2 linked regions of the Lepisosteus oculatus genome follow. The protein of the gene in region 1 binds, or shares a complex with, the protein of each later gene. Links are inferred from orthologs where the notes say so. Each region holds a gene or a part of one and is shown in the gene's direction. Other genes may lie near its edges.

Region 1 (7,078 bases):
ACAAGTTCTGGTCACAGTCGGCTAATAGATTCACACCTGCAGGACCTGGGCTCCGAGAAGCTTTTATCAGCCGTGCAGCTCAAAAAGCTCTTTCCAAGGACTTCAAACAGTGGGACGCCGATCTTCTCTTCCCAATTCTTCACATTAGGAATGAATGGTAGATGTACATAAAGATCCATACTTGTCCTTCCCCAGGAATTTAACTTTGAAAGTATTTGAAACACACAATTTAATTACTGTAATTTAAAAAAAAGGAAGGAATATACCTTGACAATAAGCACATCAAACAAAAGCTACCATACAGAAACGGATGCTGGATCAAAATCTGTTTAGGTCTGCTGAATATTTTGAAACCAGTGTTTTTATTTTTTACCGCTGTGAACCATCTTAAAATAAGCTAAAATTGTCACAATATCACAACAACATGTGAATACAATTCTGAGTGAATTTTGCCATGATACACAGATAAATACACAGATTACCCTGTAGGTTTTCTGACAAATCTGGCTACTTCCAATTTCTTAAAACAGTCTTGCTTTCTATTACATAGAATTATAATCAGACATATCATACAAAATCATTAATTTCAAATTCCACAAAAGGATGAAATTAAAGTCAGCTTCCCATAGTACCAAGAGAACTCAATGGCAACCACCACTGCCAATGGGTTCAGTCAGAGAAAAAACGGAATGCGCTGAGCTGTCGTAAAGCGCCCCAATATGAAATCTAAGTGGAACACTGTGTATGACTGTGACAGAGGGCTGTAAATGACACCCCAATAAATGTTGCTGATCTACCAGCAGCAGTACATGGCGCTACAAGCCAGCAAGGACGGCATCTGCCTTAACAGCTGCACTGGGAGTGTGGAAATTTTACAGTCCAGGCTAAAAGAAAAGAAGAAAAATAGCCCTTTGAATATAAACCTAACGCAGACTCTAATCCCCGCTCTCAATAAAGGTTGATCAAAATGTGAAATATGTGGGTGCAGAGGATCTTAAATCTGGAAGATGAATCACAGGAGGAAACCTGAGCAGCTGATTCTATGCCACACAGACAGTAGTGTATCTCGGCTGCTCTTCATCACACAAGGCACAGCCCACAGTCACTGCAAAAATACACAAAAACAGCTGGGAGACACCCAGCTCCTCGCACCTCTGCGGGAAGATGTTAAAGAAAATAATTACTGGGTGCGGCCTTGACCTTCTACAGCGATAAAGCAGAAGAGGCACAAAATGCCTTTCATTGTGGAAACCGATTCTGGGGACAAGCGCCGCTTCCTTACAAAGATGACGAACCCCCTGTCCAACATGCAGGACTCATCCTGTCCTCGGACAGAGGCATCCTCATCGCCGCACCTAGCCCTCGCGTTTCTTCAGCATCAGGGTGCACTAGCTGTACACAGCATCATACGTATGGCGAGACAGTACGGTGATCCAAGTTATGAACACACTGACTGCAGCCTATGGCTTGGCTCACATGTACAGATGCACTTCAGTGTTTCCCTGTCTATTAACTGACAAGGCCAGGTGAGGCTAAGCCAAGAATCACACTGATTGCAAGGCAGTCCCTTGCTTTCAGATGCTTTCCATATGACTGGCACGAAATATATGAAAAAAATACAGAAAGGGAAAAAACTGAGGTTTTTGTCAACTATAGCTCGACAGGCGCCCAGAGGACCAAAATCTATGGATACAGTTTAAACCCACCTACCTAAGAGATTCCAGAAAAACAGATGTCAAAAATAAAAGTCGAGTACATATTTAGTATTCATTATTTATCTCCAGGATTAGGAAAATGGCCATCTAAACTGAACAACCTACTAATATAAGAAAAAGCAGGCAGTAATGAATACAAAACACTTACAAACATGCGAACGTCCTGTACAGCTGTTTACCACTTTCCTGAGGGAAATTCCACAGAAGTACATTTCACGTGTGCCCAAGCATTGATGCTGTAACTTAACCTCCATGATTGTACCCAGCTGCTCTGCCGTAATAGGTCATGTTTTATGTTTTTAATAGTTCTGCTGTCGAAGCAAGTGAATATCATTAATAACAATAACATAAATGGTGAACAATGTTTGATTATGTTAAAGGACATGGCGTCTATGGGAATGGTCTTATATAGGTCTACCCCCAGAGAGCACACACCTGTAAAACAATTGCTCTCTCACACACATTTTCATTATAGTCAATGATCCTTCGCTGTTCAGTATTCGGTACAGCATTAGCTGAATTTCAGACGGTAGGTGTGAGATCACCCAACTTTCTCTTCTTATAGGAAAAGCCAACACTATATCAATAAGTTCTGAAGAGAAATATCTAGGCTATTGATTGGGTTGTTGGTACACCTCTTCATTTTCTGAATGAGACAGCTTCTTGTAGTACGATTTGCATTCACATTTAAACCACTTGCTTCGATTTTTCCTTTGGAATTCTTTTTCACCAACCCGGGCATAAGAAACCATACAGGAGCCATGCCTAACTCACAAATCACACAATTTAACATGGCTTATCCATCACATGCACCTTGCATGAAGGGATTATAAAAAAAAAACAGTCTGCCAAGAATAACTCTAGAAAAGTCATGTCATAGAAAAAACAGCAACATCTTGATCCACATCATGGAACTCGCCTTCACTGTGAAGTCCTGCTGGAGCGGCGGCAGAGGACAGCCGTTTACAACATCAATATTTGCATTTGGAAACTATGAAAAGGAGAAACAACGCCGTGGACAGCTAATGAGAGGTTTTAATGAGCAGCAGCTGAAAAATACCTGAGATACAGGCAGCCGAGGTGTCGGTCAGGAGACTAGGGCTCAGGCTGGTTTTAATCCAGAATTAGCTGTGCCCGTTTACAACCGGTGGTATGGCATCCAATGACTCAGAAGTAGACAACCTAACTGCGAAACAGTGCTGTATGGGGCCACTCGGATGTACACAAACCATTTAACCGGGCTAAATTTCATTATCTTCACAATTAAACTTTTTATATGGCCGATGAAAGCTTCCAGGAGATCTCCCGAAGCCCCGGTCGGCCTGAGCCAGGTTATTTAATCACGCAGGGCTTCGGTACATTGTAACGGGAACACCGATCTACCGCTTTTCGTGATATTTTAATTTGCTTGATAAAATCCAAATCTCAAGGAGGCGTCCACATCCCCTGCCAACTTCAACAAAATGCACCTTGACTGTTCAAAGGAAAAAAAATACCATTTAAGAAAAAAATATTTAAATATAATCTGTGGCTGCGTGTAGTCTTCACAGCAATATTCTGCAGAACAGACAGCCCCAACACCAGAACACATAAATAAAATGCATTTTCAGACACTCAGGGCAAACAGGAGCTGAAATTTAACATTTTTCAAAAAAATATATCCAGGAATTAAAAACGCGCACCTACCTCTGATTATCTTCCATCGCCAGAGAAATTGAAATTACAGGCAGAGTGACCGAGAAATAGCGAAGTTTTTATTCTCTGTGTGAACTGAGAGGTCTCTGCTCAGAAATGTCTCCAGCCAGGGCCAAAGCACAGACACAGGGAGAGGAGAGGGTTGTGTTGCTAAGAAGAAGCAAGAGACAGAGAAAAGGGCTTTCTGGATTGTTCTCCTTAATATAAAGGCCTAAGACCCTTTTCCTCCATTTTTCCTGCCCCCGTTGAGTTCCTGGGAGGCTAAGGGCGGCGAAACGGAAGGTTTGAGCTGGTTAAAATGAGGTTCTGTCCCTTTAAAAATAAAAATAAAAAGCTTCCCCATCAACTGCTGCTGCTGGCTCTCTCTCTGGGCTTGTTGGGATAGAAAGATGGAGCTCTTCAGCGCGCCTGCGCCGCAGCTTGGGGCCCGGAGGAGAGGGGTGTCCCGGCATGCACGGTAAAACCCAGCGGAAGCGACGGGCGAGCCTGCCGGAAGGGCGCCGCTGACGTCACGCGCCGGGTTGAGAGTTCAGAGGTGATCGCAGGTGCTGGTGGTGGGTGACTGCGGGAAGAGCAGGGATGGTCGGGATTTAGGGACTGAGCGAGAAGTCACAGGTAAAAAAATTATATATATCCACGGTTTCTCAGGTTCACCGCCTTTCCTTTCCCTGTGAAATGAGTCCGGGATGCGTTTTAGATGAGGGAGCTATGCAGCATCTATGAAAGCACGCTCAGGCTCCTGCCGTTGAGGTGCTGTAGTGAGGAGACTGTAAGGTAACATTGCGTACAGCACAGTATCCGTGTGGTGGTTGTGTTCTTCCCAATGAATTGTAGCGCATGTGAAATAAACCCTGCATGTATTTTGCAACCCAGACGGGTTTTCCCTGTTTGCCAGGTTTAAAACATTTTCAGCCCGCTTAACAGTTCTGGCAAGAGTGTAACGTCATGCCTAGTTAAGCATAATTGAAGGCGAAGGCAAGTCTGGCGCAGTCAGGTTCGTGCAACTTTTCAACTGGCAGGTCGGAGCACAGCACCGAAGGGCTGGTAATTACAATTCAAGATAAAGACGCGCAGTCACGTTTCAGACATGCCGACGTGTTCGATTAGGCTCTCAAAGATAGCTTCTTCAGCTCATAACTTTTCCATAGAGTCCAGTTCAAGAATCGGGTTAACAATAATGCAGCTCACAAGCAAGCAATAACCGTCTTTTGTTTTGTATCTAAAATCTGAAAAGTCAGTCAATATAGTTTTCGTTCTAGACAAATATTTGTCGTCGACAAGGTGAGAGCCTGGTAATTCATCTGAATGTAATGTACTCATCGTGATGAAATCCTGACTTTCTGGAGGAGGCAGGTTTTACCACTGTGCTCATTTCGCTGACGGAGGTGTCAGTTTGCCTGTATCCATTTGCACTGTTTATCCTGCAGAAGGGAGTTTGCCTGCCTGCTGACCTCTAATGTCTTTTTCCTTCTTTAGGCACCAAGGTTATGACATCATGAGTAAAAGAAAGTCTAAAGAGAGCACTTTAACACTGGGAGAATGTATTTCTCAGGTTTGTATTTTTTATTGATGATAATTACCGTTGGTACCAGTTTCTTCCATTTTAAATAGGTGGACAGGTTTTTGCTGGGACTTCATCTGAATGTATGGTGAGTTCGAGCCAGAGAACAGTTAAGTGAGGAAAATAAAGCAGCCTCTTGAGTAGGCACTACATTATTTAAGGATTAGTCTGACACATCTGGACTCCCGCAAAACATTGGGATTGTGTAGATCAGAAAGATAAGAATGAAGTGAAACCATGTGTTGCATAGATTAGTTCTATCTGCAGGATCGCTTATCTGCGATCAGTATTTAGGTCATGCTAGCTTTGCATCTGAAAGAAGTTCTTGCAAGTAGAATGTTGAAATTTGACTTACATCAGATACACTAACTTCCCTTCATCTATTTTCTTATTCTTAGTTTCTGCTGTGATTATTGCAGATTCACACTGTTCCTCTTTGTTAACAATGATAATTGACTCGAAAAAGCCCATGCGAATCGCAGCACTTTTCAAAGTGTAATCTCCGTTCTAAATCTGTGTTAGTGTGATCCTCTGATGTCTGTGTATTACTTGTGATTGTGCTGTCTGCATCAAAAATTCGCAGAGGATCTTACCAGATAAAATGGGTACATTTAATACTATTTGTATTTCTGAAATTCTGCATAGTTAAAGTATTTTTTTTGCTTCTTAGAAGCTAAATTTGTCTGATCTTGTCAGAGTACATCCTCAAGGATTAGTTGTTAGGCTGTATAATCAGAATGTAAGAACGATGGAGCTCTAGAAGTTACCACCTGCTGCAGCTCAAGATGTTCGGAGTGTTCTGTTCTGAGTTTGGCCTGAGGGGCATCTAGCTCTATTGCCTTATTTTCTGAAGGCTAGTTTCTCAGTACTCATTGTATACTTTGCATTCTGTATTAAATGCGTTTCCCATGACAGTAGATTGTTTTATATACTAGTGGAATTGTTTACTTATTTTCTTAGTGCCTGACAGATGAAAACCTTCTTGCAGAATATGTGAATCTGTTGGATAGGATTAGTTGCTAAACTATAACCTTTATGTTTTTGCTCAGTTGCTGTTACTGTGCCTGCCAGGTATTCCAACATATAAAATATGTTTTGATTTTAATACATACATTTGATTTTTTCTGCTTTATAGAGGCTATTAATAGCCAGATAATGTATCTGTATGCCCGTATATCTGTCTGTCTTTTTTCTGTCGGCTATATTACTGAATTTTTCAGTTTCACCTCACTTTTCTTTCTTATAAATATTTGTACATTGTGAATCGTACAAAAAAGAACAAGTGATTTTTTATACGATATTATTACTATTTCATCTGTTTGAATGGTTTGCCAATCAATAAAGACTCCCTTTGTTGCTGTGAAGTTTAACGCGTGCTTTCTTCTCGTTTTCAGGCTCACAAAATACTGAGGGAAAGGTGCTGTCACCAGAAACTCCCCAGCAAGCCCTTCGGAGTGGAGTCCCAGTATGAGTAAGTGTTTTGATTGCCCTTGGACTGTATTCAAATGCCTTGCTTCCTGAAGAGCTTGAGTGTCTTCAGCTCGCTAAGAGCTTAAACAGCACTTGGGTCACTGAATACGATTCCCCAAGTTTAACCATTGCTGCCAGCCTGTTCTGTAGCATAACACTTAATTTTACCTGCTCTCGTTAATCATAAATAGTGCAGTTATGTCTGTCGGGGTAAGGTTGTCAAGTCTTTAACCTGTGAAGGACAAACAGATGTACAAAATTGTAATTGCTTTATATTAGATGTTTTTGTCTCAGTATTTTTCTTACCTTTTCCTTCTAGAAACAATTTCTCTTTTTATAGCTGATGATTTTGAATTTTCACGGCCCGTGATGTAGTTTGTAGTTATATGCAAGGGAAACAGCAGATCAGAGCCATTGGGTCTATGTCTGAGCTATTTTGAGGAGCACCACTGCAAACTGTGCTGTTGTTGTGTCCTCATTCCCATGGAGAAAATGCCATGATTATTAATGGTAGCAATTGACATTGGTCCTTCAAGTTGTCACTTGCTTAGAAAGTGAGCCAAGGGATTTAATAGGAGGATGGATTGCAAAAGCAGGCAATGGCACTTGTTTATCGCTTGCTCTGGACTCTCCCAGG
Region 2 (7,525 bases), on another chromosome or scaffold:
GATCTGTTGGATCATTTATTATCTCCAAATACTGTGTATATTTTGTCCTTGTGTTATACATTTAATCAGGTTATCTTGATCCTTTATTAAGACTTTCATGAAGATCTAATTATGTTTTAGGTCTATATCATTGTAACGTCCCAGTGTGTGTTCTGTGTGTGTTTTTTTCTGTTATGTCCACACTGCTGACCCTTGATTATTCTCCCTTCCCCATTGGCCCACCATTACACCACACTTTCAGTATGATGTCATCATCAATTAGCTCTCAGCCAATCAGAACACATCTTATTCAGCCTATAACATGGAGGTTTTCAGCAAGGAGAGGCCTTTTGTTTGACTTTGGTCCCGTTTGCTTCTGGTTATTGCTTCGGCTTTGTTTGTTTGTTGGTTTGTTTTGCTTTGTGTGTGTATTTTCGTATTAGCTTCGGCTTTGTTGTTTTGTTGGTTTTTTGTTAGTTTCTTTGTGCTTTTGTTTGTGTGTGTTCATCCTTGTTTTGCCATTACCTTGCCCCACTGTTACATGTTCAACTTTTGTGTTCTTTTGTACCCTGCTCCTGTTGATTACTCTTGTTTTCCCTTATTTCTATTCCTGGTTCACTTGTGTTTTTGTGTGAACTTTTGTATATAAGGTTAGTTTAGGTTGTTGGGTACACTTTACACACTCGGTTGATTTTGTATTAGTACACTAGTTTCGTACGGGTGAGTGCCATTTGTCTTGTATGGTTTTGGGTAGTCAGTTAGCTAGGGTGTTGAAGACGCCGAAGACCGTGTTTTGGGTTTTCTTTTGTAGTCCGATTAGCTTTCCCTCACTGTCCTAGCCAGCTCCATTTTGTTTATTATTTTCTTTCCTTTGGCACCACTTTAGTTGCTTACCCTTGTTATCACGCTTCCTAATCCCTCACCAAAACCCACCTGCTTCCAAAAGAATTATCCTAAATGTTACACCCCTTTACCCCTAGACACTTGGGGTCGTAGCAATCATACATGGGAATGCGTGTCTGTGTATAGGCCCACTGACTGGGATTCACAATCTTTTTCCCAGCACTGCATCGAAAGCCCAGCTACCTCTCATTATCTTTAAATCAACATAACTCACACTCATGTCATTTTCTCATTTGTGTCAGAATATGCCCACACAGCCATGGATGAAAGACTTAGTCAATGACCAACAGGATTTTCACACAGGGTAGCCTTTTTATGGTTTTGAAAAGTCTTTTTGAGGAGGCCCCCTCAGCGGGTTTCCCGGATGAGTCAGTGGAAATTCACCTCTGTTTGGGTGTGAGGAAGAGAGAGGCCAGCTGGCGTAGGTTCAACCTGGATTCCTGCACACCATTCCTGTAAGGGGAGCTGGTCCAGGCTCCCGTGAAGCATAGTTCAGGACCCTATGCAGACGGTATGATCCGGAAGTAACTGGAGAAGGACAGCAGGGAAAAGACGTTGAGGATCTGGAGAATGGACTGGAGTAGAGGACAATGGGATGGAACTGAATGTTGGGGCGTTAAAGAATAAAACGCATCTCAACCCTAATATTTGTTTTTTAGGGAACATCCCACCCTTCTGTGCACGCAGCTTGACAGCTCCTGACTTTCACACGGTGAGATTCAGAGATTCAATCTCTATTGTCTATTGCACAGCTACGCCTTTACTGAGAAAACCCCCCGGCGCAGAGGAGAGAGGCTGAAGCAGCATAAACGCCAGTGAAGCGGCAGCCGTCTGGAACTTGCAAGGGACAGCAAGGCTGTACCCCTCAGCTGCAGGGTGCGTTTACTGGGCTCCGGATCGCTCTCGTTTCCCAGTCCTCAATGGTGCGGCAGTATGATGTATACAAATCCAGAGTCGTCATTTATTATCCTATCCATCCTACCAATGTGGAAAATCACCCGCTGGATCTTTGCCATCTGGATCCCAGAGGTGTCCCCTGCGCCCACAGGGGGAGAAGGAGGCAGTACAAAGGGCTCCCCTACCCTGCATCGCCCCCTGCTAGGCTGTTCCTTGATTCACATCCTCTGAGTCAGAGGGCAACTCATCTTCTTGCAACCAGTTGCTCTGACAAGCTCTGTTCGGTGGCTCTGGTTCACAGTGGAGCTCCTCGGATACTCATGGGGTTTCTAAGTTTTTTTTTTTCCTCAGTGGAACCTTTTTCCTCCCATGTGCTGAAAGAAGCCGTGGAATTTCGAAGGCACGTCTTTCGCAAGAGCAAGGGGTGGTACAGTCCGCAAGAGAAATTACATTTTTTTAATCCAGCACTTGCACTGCAGAGGAACATCATTTAATGACGGGCAACAGTTGAGCACATTGTGCTCTGGGCTGAAAAGCAATAGACGCCCCCTCCAGCTGCTCTAAGTCTCTGGATCCTGAAAGGCTCTGACAAAATCAAGTCAACCCAGCAGGTCTCTTCGAAATTCCCAAAGGAGTGTGGGAGTTCTGAAAGAAATGAGTCTTTTTACTCCTGAATGGAGAAGACTACAAGGGGACCTGTTCCGCGTGTTCAGTTTTTTCAGCCTGGCGCAGAAGGACATAACTTTAATTCCAGAAATGTATTAGGCGGATCTTCTCTGGACTGATTCAGAGCAGCCATATCTAATTTGTAAGGGGGCAGCCAAAATTGTACACAGTATTCTAAATGGGGCCTAATTAGTGCATTGTACAATTAGGCCAAAGCTTGTCGCTAGACGTCTACAGCCTCTCTCTCACAGCACATGAGCAGCTTGCTGGCTCCACAACAAAGTCTCCATCTGAGACTCTTCTCAGCTCTCACAGGTTCAAGTCAGCAGCTATATCATCCTGCAACTCACAACTGGCAGTGCACTAAAGCTCAGTACGTATGAGCCTGACAGTACCTGGATGGGAGACCTCCTGAGAAAAACTAAGGTTGCTGTTGGAAGAGGTGTTAGTGAGACCAGTGGGGGGCGCTCACCCTGCGGTCTGTGTGGGTCCTAATGCCCCAGTATAGTGATGGAGGCACTATACTGTAAAAAAGGCTCTGTCCTTTGGATGAGATGTAAAACCAAGGTCCTGACTCTCTGTGGTCAGTAAAAATCCCAAGAGTAGGGGTGTAACCCTGGCGTCCTGGCCAAATTTCCCATTGGCCCTTACCAATCATGGCATCCTAATAATCCCCATCTATGAATTGGCTCATCACTCTGCTCTCTTCCCTACTGAGAGCTGGTGTGTGGGGAGTGTACTGGAGCACTATGGCTGCAGTCATAATCAAGGTGGGGCTGCACACTGGTGGAGGGGAGCCCCCATTACCTGTAAAGAGCTTTGAGTGGAGTGTCCAGAAGAGCGCTGCGTAAGTGTGAGGAATTATTCATTATTATCATTCTGTCTAGGCAACCGTGGGGGCAGCTGGTTTGGACCCCATGCAAGACCGCAGCAGAGTAATCCTGGGAAAAGTTCCAAATTAGTTACCAAATCCAAGAAACGTCAAGCGATGCCGTAGATCCAGGGATAGAGCAAGAACTTCAAGAGCCGAGAAAGACGATAAGGTTTAGAGTATTCATCCAAAGGGAAAAGCGGGAAGCTCAGCAGTGAGCGGAGTGAGAGGGTGTAAGTAGGGAGGAGTGTGTGTGGAATGATAATTGATTAATTAGTGCAAGGAGAGAGGCGCTCGTGGGTATGCGGTGACGTCGAAGTGCTCATGTGCGGTTCATGGCAGCTTTCTTCTGGCCAGTTTCCTCCACTTTGAACTTTGAACCCCTGGAGCAGGGGAAATTGTTGCCTTTATTTCATATAGTGCCTTTTGTGACCGTCACAGTTCCTGCACAGGAATGCTTGATGCCCTCCGCCACCCGTTTCGGCCTGCAACACCTGGGGCGCGAACCTGGGTCTCCGGCGTAACGCCACAGGGAACCAGCCGCATGAGCTAAAGGGGACCTCCCTCAGCCCAGGCTGCTGAGGTCCCTGCTACGCGCAGGGAGGGCGATGACGTCACCGTGTCCGAACTAGCTCCGCTACACTTTCATGGTGCATAATCTCAAAGCGCCGGTGTTTTCTCAGCCCTTTGTCTCTCATGGAGTTAACTCTCAAATCGCTGAGGTCCAAGGAGTAAAATGCTCTGAACAATATTGGACTTTAAAGTACTTAAAAAATCAGCATAGATCCGTGACACGATTCCCTTTGATGTTGTATCACTATAATAAGTCAATCCCTGCAAACTGTTGTCTGTTTTTTAGTATCAACCAAGATTTTCCAAATACTATATCCTTTTATTTTTATCCAAATCTACTTGATGAAACAGTGTACCTTTCAATTTGGTTTTCTGTATATATAATATCTATTACATAAACAAGGATATATGTCCTACAGTTCATTATTTTATATTAATACAGTGCAGTATGAAGTCATCTCTACAAGCATGCGTTCTCTGGGAATTTGTCAGCTGTCTTTGGGTCGTTCCAAGCATATCCTAAGGAAAGACTACAAATCCCAGAAGGCCAAGCAGCCCGTGGCCTCCAGACGAGCTCTGATTGGCCACTTTTCTGTTGTCATGTGACAGGAAGGAATTTGAGCTCTAACCTCGGCGTGGCGCGAAAGCATGTAGCAGCAGGGAGACACTGGGGGAATTGCTGAGAGATCAGGTGCAGTATGTGACGTTGTTTTGTTTGACTGAGCAATATTAGCTCGTCCAAACGTGGTGCATAAAAGCTTCGATACTGCCACATTATGTTATCACTTAATAATTCAGCAAAGCCCTTTGCTATTTAAGAATTTGTTAGTATAATTTAAAGAAACACCGTTAGATTCGGTGAGCAGAGACTTCGGCTCTGCAGAATAGCTACAACGGGAAGCGAGACCGTAAAGAGCTCAGCTTGTATGCTGGCGGTACCGCACTCGCTCCTGGGACAGTGGTTCCCTGTGTGAGAGCCGTGACAGCCGAGTCGGCGCAGGAGTTTACTGTCGGGTCCGAGTCAAAAACCGGAGAGGCAGGGACAGAACCAGTGGTGCAACTGAGCTCACCGTTAGCGCTATGATATGGCGGTCTAGCAGACAAACAGGGTTTCTGTGACGGGTGTCTGTGTGTGCGCTGGAACCGCAGAGGTCTCCGCTGGTGTGATCTAAATGTTTCGGCTGCACTGTAGCACTCCTGCCTTTCCGATACAGTAAAACGGAGCTGAGTTCATTTCCACCAGTCTGTGCACCGGCGTTTCGGCGTTACTGATCAGAGCTCCATCGACAGCAGTGCGTCAGTACAGTGCGTCTCCCTTTCAGTAAGCAGCCTGATGTAAACTCACTTGTTTGAGCGGTCAGTAATGAGTATTAATATGCTAGTATATTATCTTAGACGTAATCGTATATAAAGGACGCCTGCTGTTTTCCACATCCAGTACGCTGAGACTCTCTGAGTCAACGTGTCTGTGATGCTCACTCAAAAACCTTCAGCTCTCCAGCTGGTCTTTTTTACGCTTGTTCTATACAGCTTCTAAAAGGAGCAGAAATGTATAAAGACAACAGCTACTGTATATCACCCTGTACCTCACACCTGGAAGCCCCTTGAAGCTCCGCAGGTGTGAGCCTGGTCAGTACCTGGATGGGGGACTCCTGGGAAAGCTGAGGTTGATACTGGAAGTGGTGCTAGTGGGCCAGTAGGGGGAGCTCACTCTGCAGTCTGCGTGGGTCCTAATGCCCCAGTATAGTGATGGGAACACTATACTGTAAAAAAAAAGGCTTCATCCTTGGGATGAGACATAACACAGGTCGTGACTCTCCATAGGTCACGAAAAATCTCGGGGCTTTGCTGAAAAAGGGTAGGGGTGTTAATTCTGGAGTCCTGGCCAAATTCCCCCCTGGCCTTTACCAGTCGTGGCCTCCTAATAATCCCCATCTGTGAACGGGCTCATCACTCTGCTCTTCTCCCCACTGAGAGCTGGTGTGTGGGGAGTGTACTGGTGCACTATGGGTGCCGTCACATCTTCCAGGGCTGTACATATGGCGGTATAGCTCTTTCGGCGGAGTGTCTGGAAGAGTGTTTTAGAAGTGTACGGATTATGCTGTGGATGATCAAGGAGTCACCTGGGCTTCACCGTGAGTGGACCGCAGTTCTGGTGGGGTCCAGTAGGGGGCGCAGTCTCCACACTGGAGAGCAGTAAGGGCCGTGGGAATAAAGGGTGGAGGCGGGGGAGCTGGGGTTTGTAGTCTCCCCCCCGTGTGGCCGCCTCCCGTGTCCAGTGTGTCCTCACCGCCGCGGGCCCCTCTGCCCCCTGTCTGTCCCTGCAGGATGCAGGCCCAGCTGCAGCACCCTGGCTACCCGGCGGCGCGCCTGCAGGTGGCGGAGGAGGCCGTGCCCTGCCGAGAGGCGCAGGCGGCCGCGCTGCTGGCGCTGTTCGGGGAGGTGAGAGGATTGGGTGGCGTGTGCGTGTGCGTGTGCGTGTGCGTGTGCGTGTGCGTGTGCGTGTGCGTGTGCGTGTGCGTGTGCGACTGGCGCGTGGCCTGCGTGCCGGGGTCTGGGCAGGGCGGGGCAGGTGTCGATCAGCGCCGGCCCTCAGCCCCTCTTCCTCCCTGTCCTGTCCCTGCAGCCCGAGCACTACAGCTACCCCTCCCTCTTCCTCTACGGACACCGGGCGACTGGGAAGAGCCACGTCACGCTCACCCTGCTCCGAGAGCTGCAGGTAGGCCCGGGGCGCCGCCGGGGCGGCTGGGTTTGGGCGGGGAAGGCCTGCACTGGGATGGGGCTTGGGCAGGGGCAGGGGTGGCCAGGGTGGGGTAGGGGCAGCTAGCCAGGGCCTGGGGCAGAGACAGGGGCTGGGGTGGCCAGGGTGGGGTAGGGGCAGCTGGCCTGGGCCTGGGGCAGAGTCAGGGGCAGGGGTAGGGGTGGCCAGGGTGGGGTAGGGGCAGCTGGCCTGGGCCTGGGGCAGAGACAGGGCCTGGGGTGGCCAGGATGGGGTAGGGGCAGCTGGCCTGGGCCTGGGGCAGAGACAGGGCCTGGGGTGGCCAGGATGGGGTAGGGGCAGCTGGCCTGGGCCTGGGGCAGAGACAGGGGCTGGGGTGGCCAGGGTGGGGTAGGGGCAGCTGGCCTGAGTCTGGGGCGGGGGCAGGGGTGGGTGGCTGGGGTGGGGTAGGGGCAGCTGGCCTGAGTCTGGGGCGGGGGCAGGGGTGGGTGGCTGGGGTGGGGTAGGGGCAGCTGGCCTGAGTCTGGGGCGGGGGCAGGGTCAGGGGTGGGTGGCCTGGGTCTGGGGCAGAGACAGGGGCAGGGCCAGTCTGTGCCCAGCTCACTGTCTCTCTCCTACAAATCAACGTTTAAAGTCCAGGAAAGGTCATCGGCAGGACTGGCCAGGCACAGTGTCATCACAGGACAGCGTATGCAATTAAACTGGAGTTTGCATGAACAATACAATGAATATACTTCTGATCTTCTCATTTGTCCTGAAACAAGTGCACGTCCACATATCCGCTGTGTGCACCTAATTGTGGGTCGCCATACGTGTGAACATGTGCAGTGCCCTCCAGAAGTACTGGGACAGCAAGGTGTCTGGTATTGTTGCTTACGGTCGGGCCATTTCTATTTGTGATCTCAAGATGGAAATGA

What was found.
Region 2: the proteins of orc4 (region 1) and orc5 are in contact, whole or in part, in a cryo-EM structure (PDB 7JPO), measured with the Homo sapiens proteins. The link is inferred for Lepisosteus oculatus from reciprocal best matches to the Homo sapiens genes ORC4 and ORC5. Residues at the interface, in NP_001177808.1 of Homo sapiens: Ser18, Gln21, Arg22, Arg25, Glu26, Cys29, Arg30, Gln31, Arg69, Thr74, Asn100, Leu102, Leu103, Gln104, Ile105, Ile109, Glu113, Arg116, Asp162, Arg277, Met281, Met284, Leu285, Asn288, Met311, Asp312, Ser313, Lys314, Asn316, Ile317; in NP_002544.1 of Homo sapiens: Ile17, Ser20, Leu21, Phe22, Gly23, Glu24, His26, His27, Phe28, Ser29, Phe30, Pro31, Tyr36, Gly37, His38, Thr39, Thr98, Phe99, Asn100, Val103, Arg104, Arg131, Glu134, Asn136, Pro139, Gly140, Arg143, Gln145, Glu146, Leu147.

What each region holds. Positions count from the first base shown.
Region 1 is NC_090707.1:2,791,996-2,799,073, reverse strand, and holds the start of orc4 (origin recognition complex subunit 4), read left to right. Parts: upstream 1-3,909; 5' UTR 3,910-4,025; intron 4,026-4,886; 5' UTR 4,887-4,905; coding exon 4,906-4,962; intron 4,963-6,365; coding exon 6,366-6,442; intron 6,443-7,078. UniProt on the Homo sapiens protein: Component of the origin recognition complex (ORC) that binds origins of replication. DNA-binding is ATP-dependent. The specific DNA sequences that define origins of replication have not been identified yet.
Region 2 is NC_090702.1:48,312,326-48,319,850, forward strand, and holds the start of orc5 (origin recognition complex subunit 5), read left to right. Parts: upstream 1-4,513; 5' UTR 4,514-4,580; exon of another isoform or gene 4,581-4,585; intron 4,586-6,216; 5' UTR 6,217-6,217; coding exon 6,218-6,331; intron 6,332-6,515; coding exon 6,516-6,608; intron 6,609-7,525. UniProt on the Homo sapiens protein: Component of the origin recognition complex (ORC) that binds origins of replication. DNA-binding is ATP-dependent. The specific DNA sequences that define origins of replication have not been identified yet.